Linked DNA regions of Xenopus tropicalis. The protein of the gene in region 1 purifies or fractionates together with the protein of each later gene. This does not show direct contact. Links are inferred from orthologs where the notes say so. Each region holds a gene or a part of one and is shown on either strand. Other genes may lie near its edges.

Region 1 (10,062 bases):
TACCATTTATAATTGCAATTTAATAGTACTTAGCCAGTTGTAAGGCTCACTGATTTTAAATATTCATAATATCTAAAGCTAACTAGTCACTTTTCTCTGGTATATTTCACAACACAGGGGATATATCCAAATATTTATCAGGAAAAGCAACGACACTCGGAACAATGTTATGACATTTCTTATGCGTTACGTGACTGTCTCTAACAGTTAATTACTGGCTTGATGTGAAAAGCTGAGGCAAAGCCACAAATCTCTGGAAGACGACAGTCTATAAAGAGGCACCAATTCCGTCCAGACCCTACATTCTTTTCCAGAAACTTAGAACAGTAAACAGCTAATAGGAGACAATAAGGCATTTTAAAAATACATAATTATAGGCTCTTTCTCTATGTGCTAGTTTTATTTCAAAATATTCATCTGCAATTACTGTGGCTTTTTATATGAACTAATAGATCTGTAGCGGTCTATGGAAATGTTGCAGCGAAAGAGAAAGTTGATGCAATAAGTAATAAACAAGAGAATAACATTCTAGTGAAAAATGGTCTCATGATTGTGCTTACATGTAATGTGTTTTAAACAGGAAAAAATTGATTCTATTGCAATGGAGGTTTATTTTTACACAATCCGAGTTTCCAAGTGCAGTATCTCCCAGGTCTCAAATGAGTTATTCAGCAAACCACAATTGCTTTATGTGAAGTTCTTTAGTTATATCAATTTAGCCGAAATCCTCTTACCTTTTAAAGAAGAATTAGTGCTATTAAGGTCATCAAAATATAGCTTTTGTGGCTCTGCATGGTTGGATACTTCATGACAACTGACATCTTGCCTGGAGAAATTAAACATTTTAGCATTAGAGTACATTGTATTAAACAGAGGTACCCAGTTAGGACTTTACCTTACCTTCTACCTATTTTGCATTAAAAGTCTGTTGCAAAGTATAAATGTATCCTTGGTAACGGCTCATTATTCATTATTAACAATCACTTTTGCTCCATGGTAACTCAATTATTAACAATTCCGCAGCCTCACTCATACTGCTTTGTGTATTGCACTGCATTCTAAAAATGACTACTGAATGGACCTTTTTTGAAATTAACAGCAAACCTTTTGCAAAAGGGAACTGGCATAGGAGATGTTGATATAAAGTTACTTAATGCTTGTTATTTCCCAAGCAGTGAGTTGTTTTATCTGCTCTTTCCTTGCTCTTTACCTTGTTTGCTTTGTGCAACAAACACTGTACATTAAGGGGTATATTTATCATTCTGTGTAAAAAGTGGAGTAAAACATCACCGGTGATGTTGCTCATAGCAGCCAATAAGCTGCTTTGCTTTGGTTTTTTAACTGTTGAAATCTAATTTCTGATTGGTTACCCTGGGCAACGTCACTGGTAATGCTTCACTCCACTTTTTACACAGCATGATAAATATACCCCTATGGAGCAGATTTATGATCCTTCAATCCTCAGGTTTATAGTTATCATCATAAGAAACTGCAGGAGATCTTGCTTGTGGTTTCTTGCACTTTTTTCAATGAGTATGTTCTTTTGAAAAATAAAACCTGGCAAGCTGTTTATTTGTTGAAAGGATAATAAATCTGACTAAAAGTCTAAAGTTTAAAAAAAAAGCACAGGCAATATTTTTTATAGTTACAATATACTGTAATCATGAAGACCAGGAAGAGGGACAATGAGGTGGACTAAATTAGACGTGACATTTATTATCTGTTATGTGAAAATGAATGTGTGTCCATATAGTCTTAATATGGCCCTATAAACTAGAGACAAACTTTACAACATACACTTGCCCATGTGCTCTTGTACACACTCAAAATATGAGGCTAGCACATAAAACCAACTGTGGTGCACACAGAGTATTTTGTGTGACTACACATAATTTAGTACTTATTTATACTCACTGTCTTCTAAGAAAAGTTTTTTAAAGGGTGCACAAAAGATTTTTGCACAATGAAAGGAGTTCAGAGGTAACACAGACCATGAGCCCTTGAGAGCATTATTTTGATAGGACTTTGCAGAGAACTTATTTAAACAGTATATGTTGTTCTTAAGTCTAATTCGAGACTTCAACAATAATTACACCAAGATCCAATTTTTAGATAGATTTTTCAGTAGACCTATGATAGTCTTGTATTTTATGCATATATTTTTAACAAACGCCATTTACTTATTATTGGGGATATATGTAGAAATGTATGCCATAACTCAAAATCAGTCAATAGAAATATAAATGTATTTAAAGCTCCATGTTTAAAAGAAAATACACATACAGACCCCATGGTGTTTCCAGATTTTCTCTTTAACATGGAGATTTATCTACATTTATATTTTTATGGACTGGTTTTGAGTTACCGAATACTTTATTTGTTTGAATATATTTTTACCACTTATGCACATGGTATTTTGTTTATAAGAATGCACTCCTACAACTAAAGCAAAAGCCACAATAAAAAAAGTATATATGAGGTTACAAAGCGGTTCTGGCACCAGAAGTGCTATCCCTGTTACCCTGTTACATTCAACCACGAGTTTTTGTTCGGTAAACAGCAACAGGTCAATTCCAGATTTACCAGATATCTGCAGCAGGAAAGTTGTAAGCTTTTAAATGGTAAAATCCCTGCTTTGGAATGACAGACCTCTAATTCTAATCGATTTGAAAACATTTGTGATAAAAACTAGTATGTCAAAATGATTGTATGTGAATAACCATTTCTCAAAAATATTAATGCTTTTGTATGAATTAACCGTGCACACCAAAGCTTATTTTTATGCTAAAGGTGGTTTGCTTTTTCTTTTTCAGCTGGTGCTAGTTGTCTTTATTATCCCGCTTTTTAAGCTTATTTTCATTGTGTTATGGGTAAAGTACATTGGAGATGATGAGATTAAGTTAAGATATATATGACAAATGCTAGAGATGACACTGAAAGGATCTGCACAAAAGTAATGTGTTTTCTTACTTGTAACTGTAATCTTTTTCTGCGTCCACTGGAATATCAGGAACATCACAATTGATTGATGAAACATGCTCATTTTTTGGTATAGGAGACAGCCGTTGCTTAGGGCTTTGTTGAGATGATGAAACAATAGAGTCTTCATGGTCTGCTATAACAATATGAAACGTAAAAAAGTTCAGTCCAAGGACAGCAGAGAATAGTCAAATTATAAATACTACATTTTGTGTTATATGTAAAGCGACTGTCTCACCTTCTGCTAAAATGCTTTGCCTTTCACTTGAGTTCTGGTCATGTTTAGATATTGGAGTTGAGGATAACCTTCTTGCAGATGAGATTTTTGCTCTTGGAGGTGTAATCTCAGGTGTAGTCTCAGAAGGATTTTCTTCTTTGTGTCTTAACTTTAATCTGTTTAGAAGGCTCTGATGATCTGGTGTGAGATTATCTTCTAAAAAGGCAACTTTCTGATGAGAAACATCTGTCAAGATTTTAACGGATCTTTTTGTTTTTGGAACAGTACTCAAAAGGCTGCTCTCTTTAGAAACAGTAGTCAAATGTATACCTTCAATGGTAGCGCCCTCACTGATTCTGTTCTGATATTTACGGTAGGCTTCCTCTAAATATTCTGCCTCCTTTTCAAGTTCTTTGATTCGGGCCTTGGTATTTGCTACAAATTCAAAATCAGAATCTGGGGAGCTGCTGCGAGGCCTTGTCGTATGGCAATACATTGGACTTGACCTGCCACATGCTTCAACAAAGGTATCATAGGAACGATGGCTTTTCAGAACAGCTTTATCAACATAAATATCAGGAGGCACAATCTTGTCTGCAGTGAAGTCCAGCACAGAGCGATCAACCAGGGATGGCTTTGGGTTGCGATACACTTCATTTTCCAGAGCTGGGCAAGCAAGAATCACACAGAAAGGAAAGTATATAAAATTAAATTGGGAACAGCTGAAGCTGATTACATTTGCTTTTTTTGTAACAAAATACATCCCAGCTACCAGACCCAACCCACACTCTCATTTTAAAGTGGTCCCCCACCCAAAAACTTGCCTAATTTAAGAAAATTGTAATTCTTAGCTACTTTGCAATATAAATTTTACATTGCAAGTTTTCACTGGTTTTAAAGTTATTTATGTCTTTGTATCTGATAATTGATTTTATTCTCAACCATCATGGATTTGACTTTTGAAACAAAGTTGCTCTTTCACAGACCTTTGAAGAAGTATTCAAGTCTGACTTCTGTTATATTGTTTCAAGAGACTGAAACAACAGTGCAGAAATGGACAGAAAAATATGGTTTTTAAATTGCAACTACATTTAAACTGGATAATAAAACATACATTTTGAATGAAATATATGTATGTTATTTACAAAATGCACATTTTATAGGCCACTTATAAATACAACTCAAAATGCTCCTATAAAAGTATAGATTTTTGGTTTGCTTTGTTCCTTCAGCTGTTCTGGGACTTCAATTTCATTTCCTAGTCTGCATCACTAACGGAATATGAGAAGTCCTTTTGCAGTCAGTTTTTCTCAAGAGAGTAATAAAGCTGTGTTTGAAAGATGATTGCTGTACAACATAGTAATAAATTAATTTAATCCAGTTGAGTGCTAAATGTTCTTGCCAGCTTCCTCACAATGTCATTTATTTTTTGCCTAGGAAAATTCTGCGTTTAAAAAAAACACGATATAAAAACTAAGCGTTTCCAGACTATATATATTTCTGCTTCAAATTCATGTGCATATATTGCAATTAAAACATAATAAAAAAGGAAATTGACAAACCGAGCTGCGCTTGTCGAAGCTGAAATTCGAGGTGCTCAACCTTTGAGTTCAATTTTTGTGCTGAATCTTCATTGTTTAAAAGCTGGGCCTTCAATTCAGCACTCCGCTTAACCTACACAGGGAACAGGGCCAAAATACAACATTACATCAGCATTTCAGGATGTTATGTAACTATTTACAGGTATAACGTTTAATCAAATAATTAACATTTTTAAACTGTTTTCCCTTTTCTCTGTAATAATAAAACAGTACCTTGTACTTAATCCTAAATAAGATAAAATTAATCGTTATTGGAGGCAAAACACCAAAAAAAAACACATTAGCTCAGTTCTTCTTTATATTTTGAGATCTGTTAATAGGCTCAATCAATCCATTTACTTTGAATTAATCATTAAGATATATTGAATTTGTGTTCTACTGTCACACAAAATGATTGATGATGTTACAGTTTTACAAATATGTTGGAAACTACTCTGTTACAGGTAGGGTGAATAGGTTAAGATGTATAACAATATACATTTCCCACACATTGTGTCTCAACCCTTTCTCCTTGTAGATTGTAAGCTCTTTTGGGTATTATAACCAAATAATTCTAATTTTTAAAAATGATTTCCTTTTTCTCTGTAATAATAACAAGATATAATGAATTCTTATTGAAGGCAAAACAAGCCTGTTGGGTATATTCTTAATATTTAAGTCATTTTTAGCAGACTTAAGTTATGGAGATCCAAATAACGGAAAGATCCCTTATCTAGAAAACCCAAGGTGATGAGCATTCTAGATAACAGGTCCCATAACTGTACCACATTTTTGCCAGTTACTTTAATTAAAATTAAACTTGTAATGTTGAGAGTAATAATTTTTTTTTATATAATAAGCAAAACATATTTATTTTGTACGAATAGTTGTTCTGTGTCAGTATTTTTGTTAATTTATGTGGCTTGGAGATGCTTATTGGGGATTACTCTAGCATTTTTAAAAAGTGCTCTTAAAGGGGGGCCCATTTATTAAGCGTGGATTGTGACCCTTAATTTTTTTGTGAAGTTACTTAACATTACCCCTAGATCAGAGGTCCTCAACCCTTTATACCCATGAGCCACATTCAAATGGAAAAAGTGCTGGGAAGCAACACAAAGTTGCCAAAGTAGAGCCATGATTGGCTATTTGGTAACCCCTCTATGGATTGGCAGTCTACAGAAGGCTCTGATGGCATAACACTGGGTTTTCTGCAACCAAAACTTGCCTCCAAGCCAGAAATTCAAAAATAAGGTAAAGGCAAATATGGTGAGAAACAAGCCAAGAACTGTCCAGTTACACTGTGGCCACATTAACTTCAAGCACGCTGAAAATAAAACTGGGTGATATGAAACTGGGCACAGAGCTAAGCATTGTAAATAAAATGTCCTAGTATTCTTCAGTACATGCATTACCAACATACTTTCACTTATTTCAAAATATTGCTATGTTCTTGAGTCGATATGGTAAAAAGTTTTAAGGACACAAGGTATTAAGTGACTCTTAAAATGGATTTCTGATCAGAGTAAACATAATGCCACAGTGTCTATGTGGTCACAGTATACATTATTTAACTTTTAGCAAAGTCATGCAAAATACCAATATTGGCAAATGCATGGTTATGTGTATTTAGTATTAGAATGTTAAGAACATGCAATTAGTAGACATTTTGTTGTCCTGTTTTGACACTGTAAAAAATGTAGTGCAGTGATCTGGGTCAATACAAATTAAAATTGTATTAAGTTCAGCAAATTGTGATAAATGTGGGTGGGAACACTTATTTATAACTATTCTAATGAATGAAACTGGAGGCTATGTAACTTGTGCTAAGTACCTTATTGCATTGGCATGGTAGCTATGCTGCAATGTACTGCATGGGGCCTTGCATTGAGCAGCAGATACCATGTGATGAACCACAGTAGCACTGTAGAGCTATGTCAAATACTATTATGAGTAGAGAAGATTGAATAAAGTATTTCCAAGGGAAACTGGTAAGTTATGAAATTATGCTGCAAGGGTAGTGGAGACTTTAGCAGCAAAGGCTTTTTTTTTCTTTGTGAAAATCTTGGAATCAGTGAACCCTAATGTATAGGTGTTATAGGTTGGATATTGTAATATTTGACCTTAGGTATGCATGGCAAGAGACACTGTAAATCAGCAAGATCCAAAAGGATTTGTACTAATAATACAGTGCTACATGATGATAGAGATAGAGAGCTTACCTCACTGTGCAGTTGTGTTTCCAAGATTTCTTTTTGTGATTTAAATTCCTCTTGGTCCATCTTTCTTGCACTTTCCATTCTCTTCAATTCTTCTTGAAGAACCAAATACTCAGGACTTGGATGTAGATTTCCTGAAATAGGATATACATATATTTTTTTTTTTTTTACAAATCAGGGTAAGAGCATTTTGTTACAACTCAGAGCAACACTAACTCACTTTCTCTAAGGATCTGATTATCCTTGTGTATTTCATCCAGTTGTTGCTTAAGTATCTTTACTTCTCCTTGAAGTTTAAGCTTTTCTTCATGTACCAAGGGATAATCTACGGTTTCTTTCAGCTTGTCAGTTAAGTGGTGATTCTGTCTTGTTACAAGAGACATTTGTGCTCTCAGAGAATCTACCTCTATCTGAAATTAGAGAGAGAGATTTTATAATTAGAATGCTTATTTCATTTTGCACCAGTTAGTTTTTGTGTTGTGTTGGTGCAGAAGACATGTTATCCCTTAATCACTGACATAAATGTAAAAATTCTTACCTCCAGTTCCTTTATACGAGTCATTGCTTGTTCTGACTCATGCTTTTTCATATTAATTACAACAGCCTCTTCACGTAATTTTGATGCTTCCTCTAGAAAGAAAAACACAGAAAATGTCCAGTGCCCATCTTATAAATGTTCCCAGTTTTGGATCATCAACAGCTTCACATAACAACTTAAAAAAATGTACATGCACTTTTGCAGTCATATAAGGTATTAAACACATGAATGGTTTGTTTTAATGAAGTAGTTTTGCCCAACCTGTGGGTAATTTGGTGACTTTATATTGTTACCAAAGCCTATAATGACTTTAAAATATATGTAATTCAAAAAATATTCCAATCCAATCTTTTTAATCCAATTAGAGACTGCTTATAGGAAACCTATTATCCACAGAACTAATCAATGTCTATCTATAAGCATCTTCCTATATGAACTTGTTCTGTCACATGATGCAAGGCTGAGGGAAAAAGGCTTGCACATTACAAAGCTCCAAAGGTTCCTATAATTGTAAATGGAACATCTTTAACAGTTCTCTGCATAACCTAAATGAACGTAGAAATAGAAATAAGAGATATGCCAAAGAGTAGGGGATGGGTTCTCTAAAGTTTGCCAGGTGATTCCCATTTAATTTCAATCACTTTTTTATTTCTTTAAAGATTAAATCATTTTATACACCTTTTAAAATAAACTACTAAGTTTGAAACCTTTTCCTAGATGGTTATGAAAAATCACTTTTATAAACTTAAACCTCTTGCATCACCACTGGAGGACCCTTCCATTTTGTTAACTATATGTTCTAGTTAATATATAAAAAGTTGGGGAATCTAGCAAAAACAGTGATCATTGGTACACAAATGGCGCAATTTGCCAGCGCTGGTGCTAGAGTCTGATGTAACTATAGGAAAGGGATTGGGTGGGCAAACACATGCTGATTGTGGTTCTACTAACCTTTATTTCTTCTTTCATCTTCACTTACTTTCTTTGTTCTTTTTATATATTCTTCATTTAACTCAATTTGATGCCTATGCAAGGGACAATACAAACCAATGAATAAATAAGCATGTGATTAAGGAGGAAGTATACATAATTTTTTAGTAGTTTAACAAATATACTTTTGTCCTATTTTAATGAAATTCCAATAATTATTATCATTTCTTGTACTAAACAGGGCAAGATCTGAAACTAAAAGTAAACAATAACACAAGAAAAAGGGAAAGTTGTGCTCAACCACTAAATTGTAAACCATTAGGCAGGGGTGCAATGAGGCTGTGACCACAAAATACATATACAGTATACAACCGCAAAAAATCATCTGCACTCACCCATTAACAATATGTAGAAATAGGACATTAGGACATTTCTGTGCATTCAGCTACTAAGAAATGCCTTCCCTCCCCACCCCAAAAAGAGGGATTGTTTGTCCGTACATTGCAATATACTTCAAGCTGGCCAACTACGTCAAAGTCATCCCTTCTGGCCAGTCCTACACTGACTGACCTATATAAGTAATTTAAGATTAGTACTGAGCAAAGGGACTATATAGGTCAGTCAGTGTAGGACTGGCCAGAAGGGATAACTAAAAGTTAAGTCAAGTTCTATATGTTCTCTTCTTATGAACACAATAAAAGCAAGTCAAAAGATAACAACCCTGGGAAAAAAAAAACTTTTTTTTGCCATCTTTACTGCTTATTAAAGCACTGCAGGTATGTGGTGTTAGAAATATTGCTACAGTAAAGTAAAAGAAAGGCACATTTTAAACATGATAGGCAGCACTAGATAGACAGAAAAAGCATTACAATTTTTGTAGTCATTACACTACATTTTTTGTCCTTCTGTTGGACACAATCACAACTTACAAGGAGGAATGGTGTGATAACAGAGTTAGTGGGAAGTACAAACTAAGCGAGATTTTGCAAATTTCTCCAGCAGCACCTAATGGCTGTGTCTTTTGCTTCAGGTACACAATTGTAGTGACTATGGTAAATCAACAAAATATATTAGACCTTAATAGCTCATTTTTAAGCTTCTGGTCGAAGGTGTCCTCTATGTTCTTTACTTCAAGCTCCCGCTTCCTGAGAAATTCATCTATACTTCTGTTCTTTTCTGCTTCCAGCTTCTGAGTACTACATAAAAAACAAAGGAGAAAATGGTATAGGTATATCAAATGCTAGTGTTTTACACCTGATAGATACATCACAAGTGTCAATGTTAGGATATCTCCATGGTATCACAGTATATTACTTTAATGTCAATCACAGATATTATGGATGTCATGTAGACACAGCCTGTCAGACATGAGATAAAACCGACTTAGTACATGGCATAGGAACAATAACAGTAATAAAAAGAGTGTGTAATATTATTCATGTAACTGCTGCCACTCTCCTTAGTAAGTCAATGATAAGCAACCATTAGCATTATGTACAAAAAAAAAATCCATGAATTACTTATTTGCATGTATACATGTGACTGTGAACATAAATCTTTCTTTTCTTGACCTATATTCCTTGAGAAAAAGGCAGCAAGGAG
Region 2 (10,812 bases), on another chromosome or scaffold:
GGTAATAGGTTGCCGGTTCACAGCGTACTGATTGGCTCATGTCCCGTCGGAGACCTTCTGCTGATTGGCTAAAGATAACTAGGAGGGCTTGTTGACGCGGGAATATCTAAGCGAGTAAAGCCTGTGGCTCTATTACGTATTCCTTGAAATATAATGCTTTACATTACTGGTTTCTGGCGCTTGGCCAACTCCAACTTGCAGAAATCCAGGTAACCCTGTGCAGGTGTCCCATTCTAATATTGTAAGTGAACCTCACGCACCTGTAGGGCTTTAGAAAGGTGAAATATTTATCCGGGCTATGTGCAAACAGTAAGGGCTGAGCTATTGGGGGCAATTAATCTCCCAGACATGCCATCCCACCAGCAAGAATGTAAATTGCAGGTTGGATGGTATATGCGTCGCTTTGGCCGCCCGAAGTTGCCTCGCAAAGAAACTTCAGGCAACCCCGGAAAACCGAAACGATGCGTATACCATCCCACCTGCAATTTACATTCTTGATGGTGGGATGGCATGTCGGGGAAATTAGTCGCCCGCTGCTATTTGTCACGGCTACAGAATGCCAGAAAAAACCCTGCCATAGACTGAGAATTGCCTCTGTTAAAACACACATAGAGACAATTATCATTAAATGGTCAGCATTGTCTATTTTTGTAGCTGTGACAAGTAGCTGATATTAGTAGTTCCATGTGTCTTCACACTTAAGGACAGTGGCACACTTCAAAACTGAGACAACACATATGCCGTTCCACCAGCGATTTACATTCTTACCTGAGGGATGACATTTTGTGGAGATTAGGTGCCTGTGGTAGCGAAGATTTATCGCGGGCAACTAATCTTCCAATGTGCCACCTACCTTAGTCCTGTACAGGCAGTAAGAGAGATCACTCTCCAGTGTGGCTTTTTTCTTCCGTAAATAAAGCAGTTATAAGGAAGCGCAATTTATATGTATATATTCTTACAATACACAAGTGCCCTGAAAATCCTCCTGTATCCTAATAAATGGTGCTATGTTATGTCATAAGTAATAATCGGTACCTAATGGTGTAATTTTTGTAACAATAAAAGTTATGTATTATAATGAAAGACCATACAGAAGCACAAGGCTTAGGTCTTTTGTAAAATATAAGTCACTTTGGAGTTCCATGACCTGGATAAAAGCACTTAGACTTAGGCCTTGTGCTTCTGTATGTTCTTGGAACTCCTCAGTAACTTATAATATTACACAGAGGAGTCACTTGTAATGTACATTTTTTTATAGTTTTATTTACTTGACTTTTTATGTTAAAACAAAGAAACAATAAAGAAAGACTAAAGAAAACAAAAAAAGTCTCAAAAGCCTGATTCAAGAGCCTGTTCACAGATTACAGTTTCAGTGAATACACAAATATAGTTACTACAGGGCTGTTATTGTACAGATACCCATACAACCCAGACTACATCATTTTTTTTGGGACACCCTCTGGCTATATAAGTTTACAATATGGGGTACATTATTTGCTATATATCCTTATAATACAAAACCCCCTAAATATTCTTCTTGTAAAGTCTATCTTTTTTAATTGGTCCTTAGTGATGTCATCAATTTCTGTGACAACACTCACTGAAACTTGTGTATTATAAATAAATAATGCACCCCCTGTTGTAAAATATGAGGATATTAGAAATAACCTCAGAGTTCCATGTCCTGTATAAAAGTATAAAAGCATTTTATAAGTTCATGGAACTCCTCTGTGATTTATGGTATCCTTATATTTTACAATAGTGGGTACATTGTTCACTGTATAATATGCTATGTTTCTGAAAAATGTCTACTACCAAAGTGTAGTATAGGGAACGCTAAAATGATGCCATGCAAGGGTATGGCCAGATTTTTATTGTTCTTTACCCCAAGTTAAATAGGGCTGCAACCTTTGTCGGCAACCAAAGCACTGGTTACCAGCCAAAGGGCTGGTGATGTTTAGAGACAGAGCTGTGATGTTGAGGTTGGGGCTATAACATCACATATCACACAGTTTGTTTCTGTTTGTCAGGTGTAACCAAACTGGGCAGGAGGTTTTGAACTAGACAGCCCCTTCAAAAACCATGCAAAAACCGGACAGGTGCTTAAAGTCAAATAATTCTCCATCCACCAGGATCACAGAATTATCTGTTTAAAGAGCCTGGCAAATTGCCATACATGCCCAGAGGATCAGCCAGTACTACCAACATTGGCTAAATTGACTAACAACAAGTGAGAACTGGGAATATTATGGTTAGCTTTATGGCAATTTGTGCTTGATGTGTGTTTTATGGCACTACCAACACTATTACACTATTGCACTATAGCCTGCATTAATAATGTCATATCTAGTCTAACAGAGTTAAAACCAAGAAACATATTCTCACTTTTTATAAAAAATGTCTACAGTGGGGTATGTGGAAAAAAAATGGTTATCTTTTTGTGGTGTAAACAAACATTTTACTTAAACTGAATGCCAATTTTGTCTTAACACCACATTTGCTGATTCCACCCCCCTATGTATCAGCCACATTAAATCTCTGCCTCTGTGAGTTCATAGTTTAATTTAGGGGAAAAGGCACCTAGGATTAAGATACTGAAAAAACTCGAGAAAACACAATTCTAAGGGGCACATTTATCAAAGTAAGATTGAGTCCGAATACAAAAAATTTGTATTGGTTCGTACTGTGCGTATTTTCTGCGATTTTTTCGTACTTTGCGCAACTTTTCAATACTTTGCGACAAAATTTGTGCCACATAAACGTATTGACGCGCCGAGTACAAACGTTTCAGATTCATTCAAGCTTCGGTATCGTGACTTTTCTTGGGCCAGGTTGGAGCTGCAGAGTGCTATTGAGTCCTATGGGAGGCTTCCAAAATCATGTACAGAAGGATCAAAGTCGGAAAGGTTTTTCCGCTGTTTATGATTGTTCGATCCGAAAATTTTGTGACTTTCGGATCGCCAATACGATATTATCGTGACTATTCCGATTTTTTCGTAAGCATTTTCGTGATATTTGCGATCATCAGAAATTGTCATATCTAACCCAAATTTTTCCCATTTCAGGATTCAAACTCGTACTTTGATGAATGTGCCTCTATTAGTTTCTGTGTGTGGTAGTTCTTTTGCCTGTTTATGCCATCTGCACTTCAGCACAATTTGAAATAACTGTGATATTATCTTAAAGGACAAACAACCCCCGAATGCCAATCAGGTCCTAAAAGACTTAAAATAGGACCTGGCATTTTAGATACACGGAGGTCCAAACAGCCCCCACAGGCCCAATAAATAGCAACTGTCTATGCCTCTTTGGCATCTTACCAGAATATACAAAACAGGAAAGTAGCCAGGAACAGTACAGAACTAGTGCCAATGTGTTATTAGCCCCCCCCCCCTCTAGTTAATCCAGTCACTTCGTTTTTTCCCTGGGCTGCATTTGGGCTCCATTTAGGAAGAAAATCCTATCTTACTAACTTAATCTCTAATGCTGACATAGACGTATGCATTAGAGTAAAATCTACATACACAGTTATATAGTTTTCTTAGAACTATGAGGATCATACACTTTTTTTTTAACAAATTTGTCTTATATATATTCCTGATTTTTGTACCAATAAGATCCAAAAAGTCCTTACAGAACCTAATAAATCCTATGTATAACTACATAAATTACTGGGCCCTACTGGAAAACCTGTATAAAGCTCCCAAACCATAAGTAATGTGCTCTAAATGTATATAACAACGTTGTATACTAGTCAATACCTCCACCTGGCACTTTTACTACTATACATGGTATAGTAATAATTCTTTGGTGCTGGGCGTACACCTAGGGGCAGAATAAAAATGGCAAAATATACTATGCTGATAAAAATACAGCACAGTTTTAAAAACTGCAGAGCAGCCTTGGGCAAAAGATTAGCAATTTTTTTTACTCTGGGGTTCCTAACAAATTGGTATCTCCAGTGTTTTTATCTTTCATTTTTTCAAAAATAATATCTCTACTATCTAATACTATCAAATAGTATGCTGTTTTTGTCACAGATTACTGTTTTAATCTGTCTTTCTTTGTTTTATTGGTCAGTGTCTCCTACATATAAGGATAATTACACACAAAAAGGAAAAGGATAGAGATTAAGCAGGTGCTTAAAATGAAGAGATTGATTAATCTGTGCATTTTAGCTGCCAGATTTCATAAATATTTGTTTTTCAGTCTTGCTTTATTTTTGTTTCTTAATCTAACTTCCTTGTGTCATCAGCTTCTGGGAAATATAGTTCAGGTACATCTGGTTTCTGAGTAACAGGTCTGGCTTGGGAAATTAGATACACAGAAAAGTACATCTCCACCTACCAGTCAGTTCATGTATTCTCTGTGGCAATACTTTCTTGTCATATGGAACCATTCCTTATAATATCAGAAAATGCTCAAAGACCATAGCATTTAGAGCTTTGAAAAGAGAAGGGAGAGGTGATATAGTAGAAATATATAGTACAGGTATAGGTTCTATTATCTATAATGGGGGCTCTACCTGAGGCAAGTTGAGATTTTTGCCTCAGGCAGCAGACCCGATAGTCCAGTTTTAATATCAGAATTTTAGCTCTTCTAGTGAAGGGAGCGCAATCACACTCTCTGCAACAGCGATGCAGCCCCTCCTCTGACACTAAAAATTTAAGTGCAGGGAGGATGAGGGGGGCTGCATTGGAAAGCATGCTTTGGGTGGCAGAGGGGCTAGGATCACCACTAATCCTGAATGCTTGAGAAATGGGGGTTTCCAGATACGGGGTCTATTTGTAAATTGGACCATTTAAACATTAAATAAACTCAGGATTGTTTTGCCATCAATATAGATTCATGCAGCTTAGTTACCATCAAGTACAAGGTAAGGTACTCTTACACAGAAAAAGGAAATAATTAAAAAAAAAGAATTATTTGCTAAAAATTGACTTTAGTGTAGTTAAATTGTAATTTAGAGCTTTCTGGATAACAGGTTTCCGGATAAGGGATCCCATTACTGGGATAAGGAAATTAACAGAGCTCAAGTCTACACCTGAGTTCTGTTAATTTCCTTATCCCAGGTATGGGATCCATTTTACGGAAACCTGTAGTATTTTTGGCAGTGCAACATGGCTAGAACTAGGACACGAGCTGCCAACCAACTCCAAGCCATGAGTGAAATTATGATCCAGTCCTTGTTTTTTTAGACTTGACTTCCTCAACACTAAAAGATATTATGAAATAAGCTCTCAAAAAGGCCTGGAGTGGATCATTATCTTCCTGGCATGGGGTTGGAGCTGGAGTTGGTAGAGAAAACAGATTGTCAACAGATAACAACACTGGTCTGGTTCAGCAATTTCACCCACACCCAGCGTGACAAGTCCATACTTTATTTGTGTATTATCCCTTTAAGGCACATTCCGTTTCCGGGTTACACAGCCAGTACGCTTCAGGCGCTGGACAGCACTAGCGAGTCACAGTGAAGCTCCGTTCCCACAACAAAGCGAGTGTAACCCTGACCGAAGCCTGGGGAGCTGCGCATGCGTGCGAGGGGCAGGAGAGGCGGAGTTTTACACAGCCGTTGAGAACGATGGCTTCTGTAGGAGATCTTAAAGCGGGTGAGTTTGTGGTTCATAGCTCAGTTTGATTCTCTGTGTATTACTGTGCACTAGTCCTGCAGAACGGTGCTTGTATATATCAGTAATGGACTGACTACATTCTGACTATACTGACTATATCTTCTTACTGTAGCCAGGATTCTGGGAGTTGTAGTTCATCAGTATCGTCTAACTCTAAACCATTATGCCCAAGTAAAAGAGCGATAATATATATCATTTGTATGGAAGGCTTGTGATCATGGGAAATCTTGGTAAAGAAGTAGAGGGCTAATTCAGTGGCACTAGGGCAGTGGGATTCTCCCTAATAACCTGATATTGAAGAATATCTATTAACTTTACTCATTAACTTTAGATTCACAGTGCCATTGTTTCTTTCTGCAGTTGTGAAGGATACTCTGGAGAAGAGAGGAGTTATGGGGCAGCTAAAGGCCAGAGTTCGAGCAGAGGTGTTTGAAGCATTGGATGATCGCAGTGAACCCAAACCAGTTCTGTCCCCTGAAAATCTACTCATCAATGAACTGATTAGAGAATATCTGGCATTCAACAAGTATAGATACACAGCATCAGTCCTAACTGCCGGTAATGTGATCCAGGGGTGCCCAGCAATGCTAGCTGGCTGATTGTCACACTGACAGGTGTGCTGTATTTCAGTGCCTTACTGACTGTGCTGTTAGAAACGCTATTACCCACAGGAGCTTATTTATAAGCACTGGACAAGTTTTCCCCTGGGCAGTAATCCATAGCAACCAACTAGTGGTTAGATTTTTCCAGTCAGCTGCAGGTTGAACAATAAAAGCAAGAATCTGTTGCCATGAGTTTCAGCCCAGGTGCAGCTTTATCCAGTGTTTTTAAATGACTCCCACATGTCCTTAGAGAAGATATGTCCAAATTATTGCAGATGAGCTGTAGTTTCTACATCCTTGTCATCTGTTGTGCTGAGCCTTCCTTACAACATAGACCGCTATACCTCTGTATTAATCATTTGGCTGCAGTCAAATACTTGCTCCAGCCAAGCCTTTTATAGGACAAGGTTTGTGATGATTAAGCTGAGCGCTAGACAAAATAGTACCTATCGGAGTATCCCTTCGTAATAAGTGTAAATATATCTGGGCGTTGTTTTTTATCAGCTTATATCTAGAATTTCTTTTTTTTTTTTTTTTTTTTTTTTTAAATCTGTTGAAAAAGTTGTACAGGCATAGGATGCTTTATCCAGAAAGCTCTGAATTACAGGAAGGCCAAACAATTAAATAAGCCCTAGGACCAAACAATTGAATTAGCCTGATATCACCCACCTTAGGTGGGCATATCGGGGGAAGTTCTGCTCGTTTAGCTACCTCACAATGTGTATGGCACCTTACTAGAGATCTGGGCTGACAAATGTTCTTTTTTGATGAGCATGTTAGGTTATTAGCCATTCTTGTAACATATAGGCCACACACTGCACTTTGATTAAGGGATATGGTTAATCATTGCATGGGCCAGTGAGTCACATGCATATCATTTGGCCATCCTCCCTCATGGCTAACTTGCACTAAAATCCATTTGATCATCCCTTTAACCCTTATTCTCTGGCATCCTTGTTTATCTGTTCTGTTCTTTTTTCCTGTCTTGCACTTTTGGTTCCCCATTCTCTTTCTCTTTTGTTGTCACATTCTCTAAAGAGCTTACTGCTAAATTCTTTATTTTCTTTTACAGAAACTGGCCTTTCAGACATTCCACTTGATCGTTCATTCCTCACTAAAGAGCTTAATGTTGTTGACGATATGAACTCCCAGTCAGTGTAAGGCTTTGAAACAAGAATTTTGGTGCTAAATTTATTTAGCAATATTAAGTTGCTGTGCAAATGACATAAGAGCAACCTCATATTATTTCTTACAGTCTTGATAATTTCTGATGTGGAATTTCACCCTTAAATTTGTTACAACAGACCAATTCTCTATGGGATCCTTTCTCACTTTTTAAAAGAACATGAAGAGGGACCGTGCCAGAGAGTAGAGAATGTGTCAGCAGAAAAGCAAACATTTAGAAACATTCTGCGAGGCAGAAATACAAAAGGTAAAATGACTATATTTGGATTTTTGTCTTGAGTTTCTGCCATAAACTTTTGATACTGGTAGACTACTGTTTAGACCAGGGTTGGCCAATACGTCGATCACGGTCCACTAGTCGATCCCCCGTGGATCACTGGTGGACTGCGATGAAGCCGGGGATGCGGAAGTGCTGTGTGAATGCGTACGTATGCTGCGTCAAGTACATACGCATTCACGCCGCACTTCCGCATTCCCTGATCATAAGTCGACCACAGGATGGGAAAGTATAGCAACCCCTGGTTTAGACAGTTACTTAAAAAATAACCATTTTAGTTGGGTAGAGAACCTCAGGAATATGATGATTTCTCTTTAAAACAGCCCTGTTTTGGGGGCATTGAGAGCAACAGCCAAGGGGTTGGTGAGCAACATGTTGCCCGGAGCCACTGGTTGGGGATAACTGCATTACCACATAGCAACTGTGCAATGGGTGCATATAGCCAGTAGAGGGAGCCCTTATTTTGAGAATTCAGTTTGGTACTCCAGTCTAAAAATCCCAGTTTCACTGGCTATTAACATTTATTTGTGCACAGTTTTCAATAGCCCAGATACATGCTACAATGCAGACTGTGCTTCAAAGACCCAGACATCCCAAATAACTATCTATGAGGTTGTATAATGTATAATTTTATCTTGGTATAGCTGCAAGTACTGTTTTATTGTTTATATAAAGTCTACTTTCACACTTATAGCTACTCTATATAGCATGTCAAGCCTTTTCTGTTTTCTTACCTTTGTTTGGAGAACTGACAATTGTCAGGTACAGGTACAGATATCTAGGTATCCCACCACCATGGAAAATATTGTAGGTATAGATACAGCTGCAAGCAGTGGATGTCTGTTTTATAGTACACGTAAATACTTTTGTGGTTATTACTGACCGATTATTTATTTGGTTCCTATGTCAATGGCAGCTTCCTGTTTGCACCAGATTAAAGGACAATGAAAGCTTAATATAAATTAAAAGTAAGTCTAAAGGCATTCTTTTTAAGTACTTACTGCATATCTAAATTCCCAGATCCCTGCTTGCTTCTCTGAGATATGGTGCTGGCAGCCTACAGCAGTGTGAAGACTACAGTGACATCACTGAAATCTCTCTCCCCTTCCTGTAGGCTGCCAGCGGCAGCCTTCCTATTCTCTGAGCATGTGTGTAACTTGATCCTGTCTCCTGTTCTGAGCTACACATGCCCACCAGCCAATCAGAAGCAGATCTGGCAGAGGGGAGGGGGGGGAGGGAATGAAACACATGTGCAGTATGAAGCAAGGAGGGAAAGGAAGGGAGAATACCTTTTTAGAGATGGCTGCCTGTTCTAGAAAATGTGAAGTAAGACTGAGTAAATATCTGATTAGGTGAGCCAAAAGTGTGGCGTTTTTACTAAACAATAGGAGGACTATTCGGCAGTATGCTTTTTAAATGTTGACTTGCATTCTCCTTTAAAGTGTTGTATAAAGCTATAAATACATATTACCTTAATTCTATATATATACTTTTGCATAATGGCTCTCCCTTCTTAGGGCTTTAGCATATGCATTGATTTCAGCAACAAAACATAGCTGTGGTCACTTCCGTAGAAAAGGTATATGAATTGGTTATGGTAGACACATTATGTATTATGTATGAATTTAATATAGGTTTAACCCTGGCAAATGTTTTCTTCAGATGCAAAAACAAGTTGAGCAGATGCTTTCAATATATCAAGTGTAGGGCTGTATAGATTTCGGCACACTCCCACGCAAGGAAAAATGTCACTTGCTGGAATGAGGATAGTTTCTTTTATATTCAAAGGTAATCTTATTAAATAAGCAACTGGGTAAAATTAATTATTTTTAACTATCTCTTTAATAAAATTACTGCTATTATTCCAATTAAAGCTAAATTGTATCATTATTCCATTAAAGGGCATTAGCAAAGGAGATTTATAGCAGTGCACTGTAATGGAAACATTTTGAATAATCATTATCTTCCTACATTAACTACCATATTCCACTTTTCCAGATCATCCAGGCCCGTGCAGTTAACACAAACAAGCACTGAAGATCGGCATCAGCGAAGGCGCAGATAATTGCTTGTGAAGTATTCCAGAGGGATGACAGTTCGTTTACTCTATAAAGTTTTCTGCATTACAGACATCGTGGGCTTATCTCTCCTAAACAAATGTTTTTAGACACTTTAGGGAGAGAGTTTTTTTTAGACAAAGCTGCTATATTTATTATATTGTAACCATATTGGACAAGTTTATTTTGTAACAATGCAAATAAAAATGCACAGTGTACATTATTTATATTCCTGATATATTTATATGTTCATCCACATGTAGTCAACTATTGAAACAGACTGTTGCTAGCTTTTATTATGGTGTCCTCTTTAATATGACAGACTGCTCTACATTTTTCTGGGGCACATACCAAGCTTTCCTATCCTCAGAATATTATAATTTAAGCTAAAGATGACAGGATGACTCTGGGATGTTGTAAGGACAATTAAGAGCCCAAGCAAAGAAAGAGTATCTTTGTAGTGAGGTAACCAAGCAGATTTAGGCTTATGTAACAAAGGGAGGCTTATTACAGGCTAGAAATATGTTCCTTGTTCATTGATATGGGGCTACAGTATCTGCAACTTGTGCTTACTAATCTGTTTTGTTTTAATTCATTTATATACTCCAGCACCTCACATTAACATTTGTGGGACTGTGATGGCAGCACTGGTTATGCTAATGTGGGTCAGATTCAATTACTGCTTAGGGGTTGTTCACCTTTAAATTATCTTTAAGTATGATGTTGGCAATGATATTCTGGGACAATTTGCAACTGGTTTTCAATTTTTACTATTTGTGGTCAGTGATCCCCGTTTGAAGGCTGGAAAGATGTGGAAGAGTAAGGCAAATAATTCCATAACTATAAAAAAGAAATGATAAAAAACAAGTTGCTAAGAATAGAACATTCAATAGAGTCCAAAGAGAATGCAAATGGTGAAAAATGTTCAATTTCCGTGTTAATGTGACGAAAAGCGACGTGATTTTAAGAATTCAGTTCAGCCAGGCACGTGGATTCGGCCAAATCCTAATCCTGCTGAAAAAGGCCAGATCCCAAACCAAATCCTGGATTCGATGCATCCC

Evidence for each region. Proteins that work in one complex are often made in the same cells at the same time.
Region 2: the proteins of ofd1 (region 1) and fopnl purify together in Homo sapiens (co-immunoprecipitation; 3 studies listed by BioGRID and IntAct, with this or other methods). This does not show direct contact. The link is inferred for Xenopus tropicalis from reciprocal best matches to the Homo sapiens genes OFD1 and CEP20.

What each region holds. Positions count from the first base shown.
Region 1 is NC_030678.2:105,737,683-105,747,744, forward strand, and holds part of ofd1 (oral-facial-digital syndrome 1 protein), read right to left. Parts: intron 9,657-10,062; coding exon 9,537-9,656; intron 8,556-9,536; coding exon 8,482-8,555; intron 7,623-8,481; coding exon 7,531-7,622; intron 7,403-7,530; coding exon 7,213-7,402; intron 7,127-7,212; coding exon 6,996-7,126; intron 4,871-6,995; coding exon 4,759-4,870; intron 3,863-4,758; coding exon 3,218-3,862; intron 3,116-3,217; coding exon 2,971-3,115; intron 827-2,970; coding exon 735-826; intron 1-734. UniProt on the Homo sapiens protein: Component of the centrioles controlling mother and daughter centrioles length. Recruits to the centriole IFT88 and centriole distal appendage-specific proteins including CEP164. Involved in the biogenesis of the cilium, a centriole-associated function.
Region 2 is NC_030685.2:33,922,325-33,933,136, forward strand, and holds fopnl (lisH domain-containing protein FOPNL), read left to right. Parts: upstream 1-5,405; 5' UTR 5,406-5,581; coding exon 5,582-5,609; intron 5,610-5,655; exon of another isoform or gene 5,656-5,847; coding exon of another isoform or gene 5,848-5,860; intron 5,861-5,990; coding exon 5,991-6,188; intron 6,189-7,304; coding exon 7,305-7,389; intron 7,390-7,536; coding exon 7,537-7,664; intron 7,665-8,610; coding exon 8,611-8,642; 3' UTR 8,643-8,662; intron 8,663-9,692; coding exon of another isoform or gene 9,693-9,715; 3' UTR 9,716-9,980; downstream 9,981-10,812. UniProt on the Homo sapiens protein: Involved in the biogenesis of cilia. Required for the recruitment of PLK1 to centrosomes and S phase progression.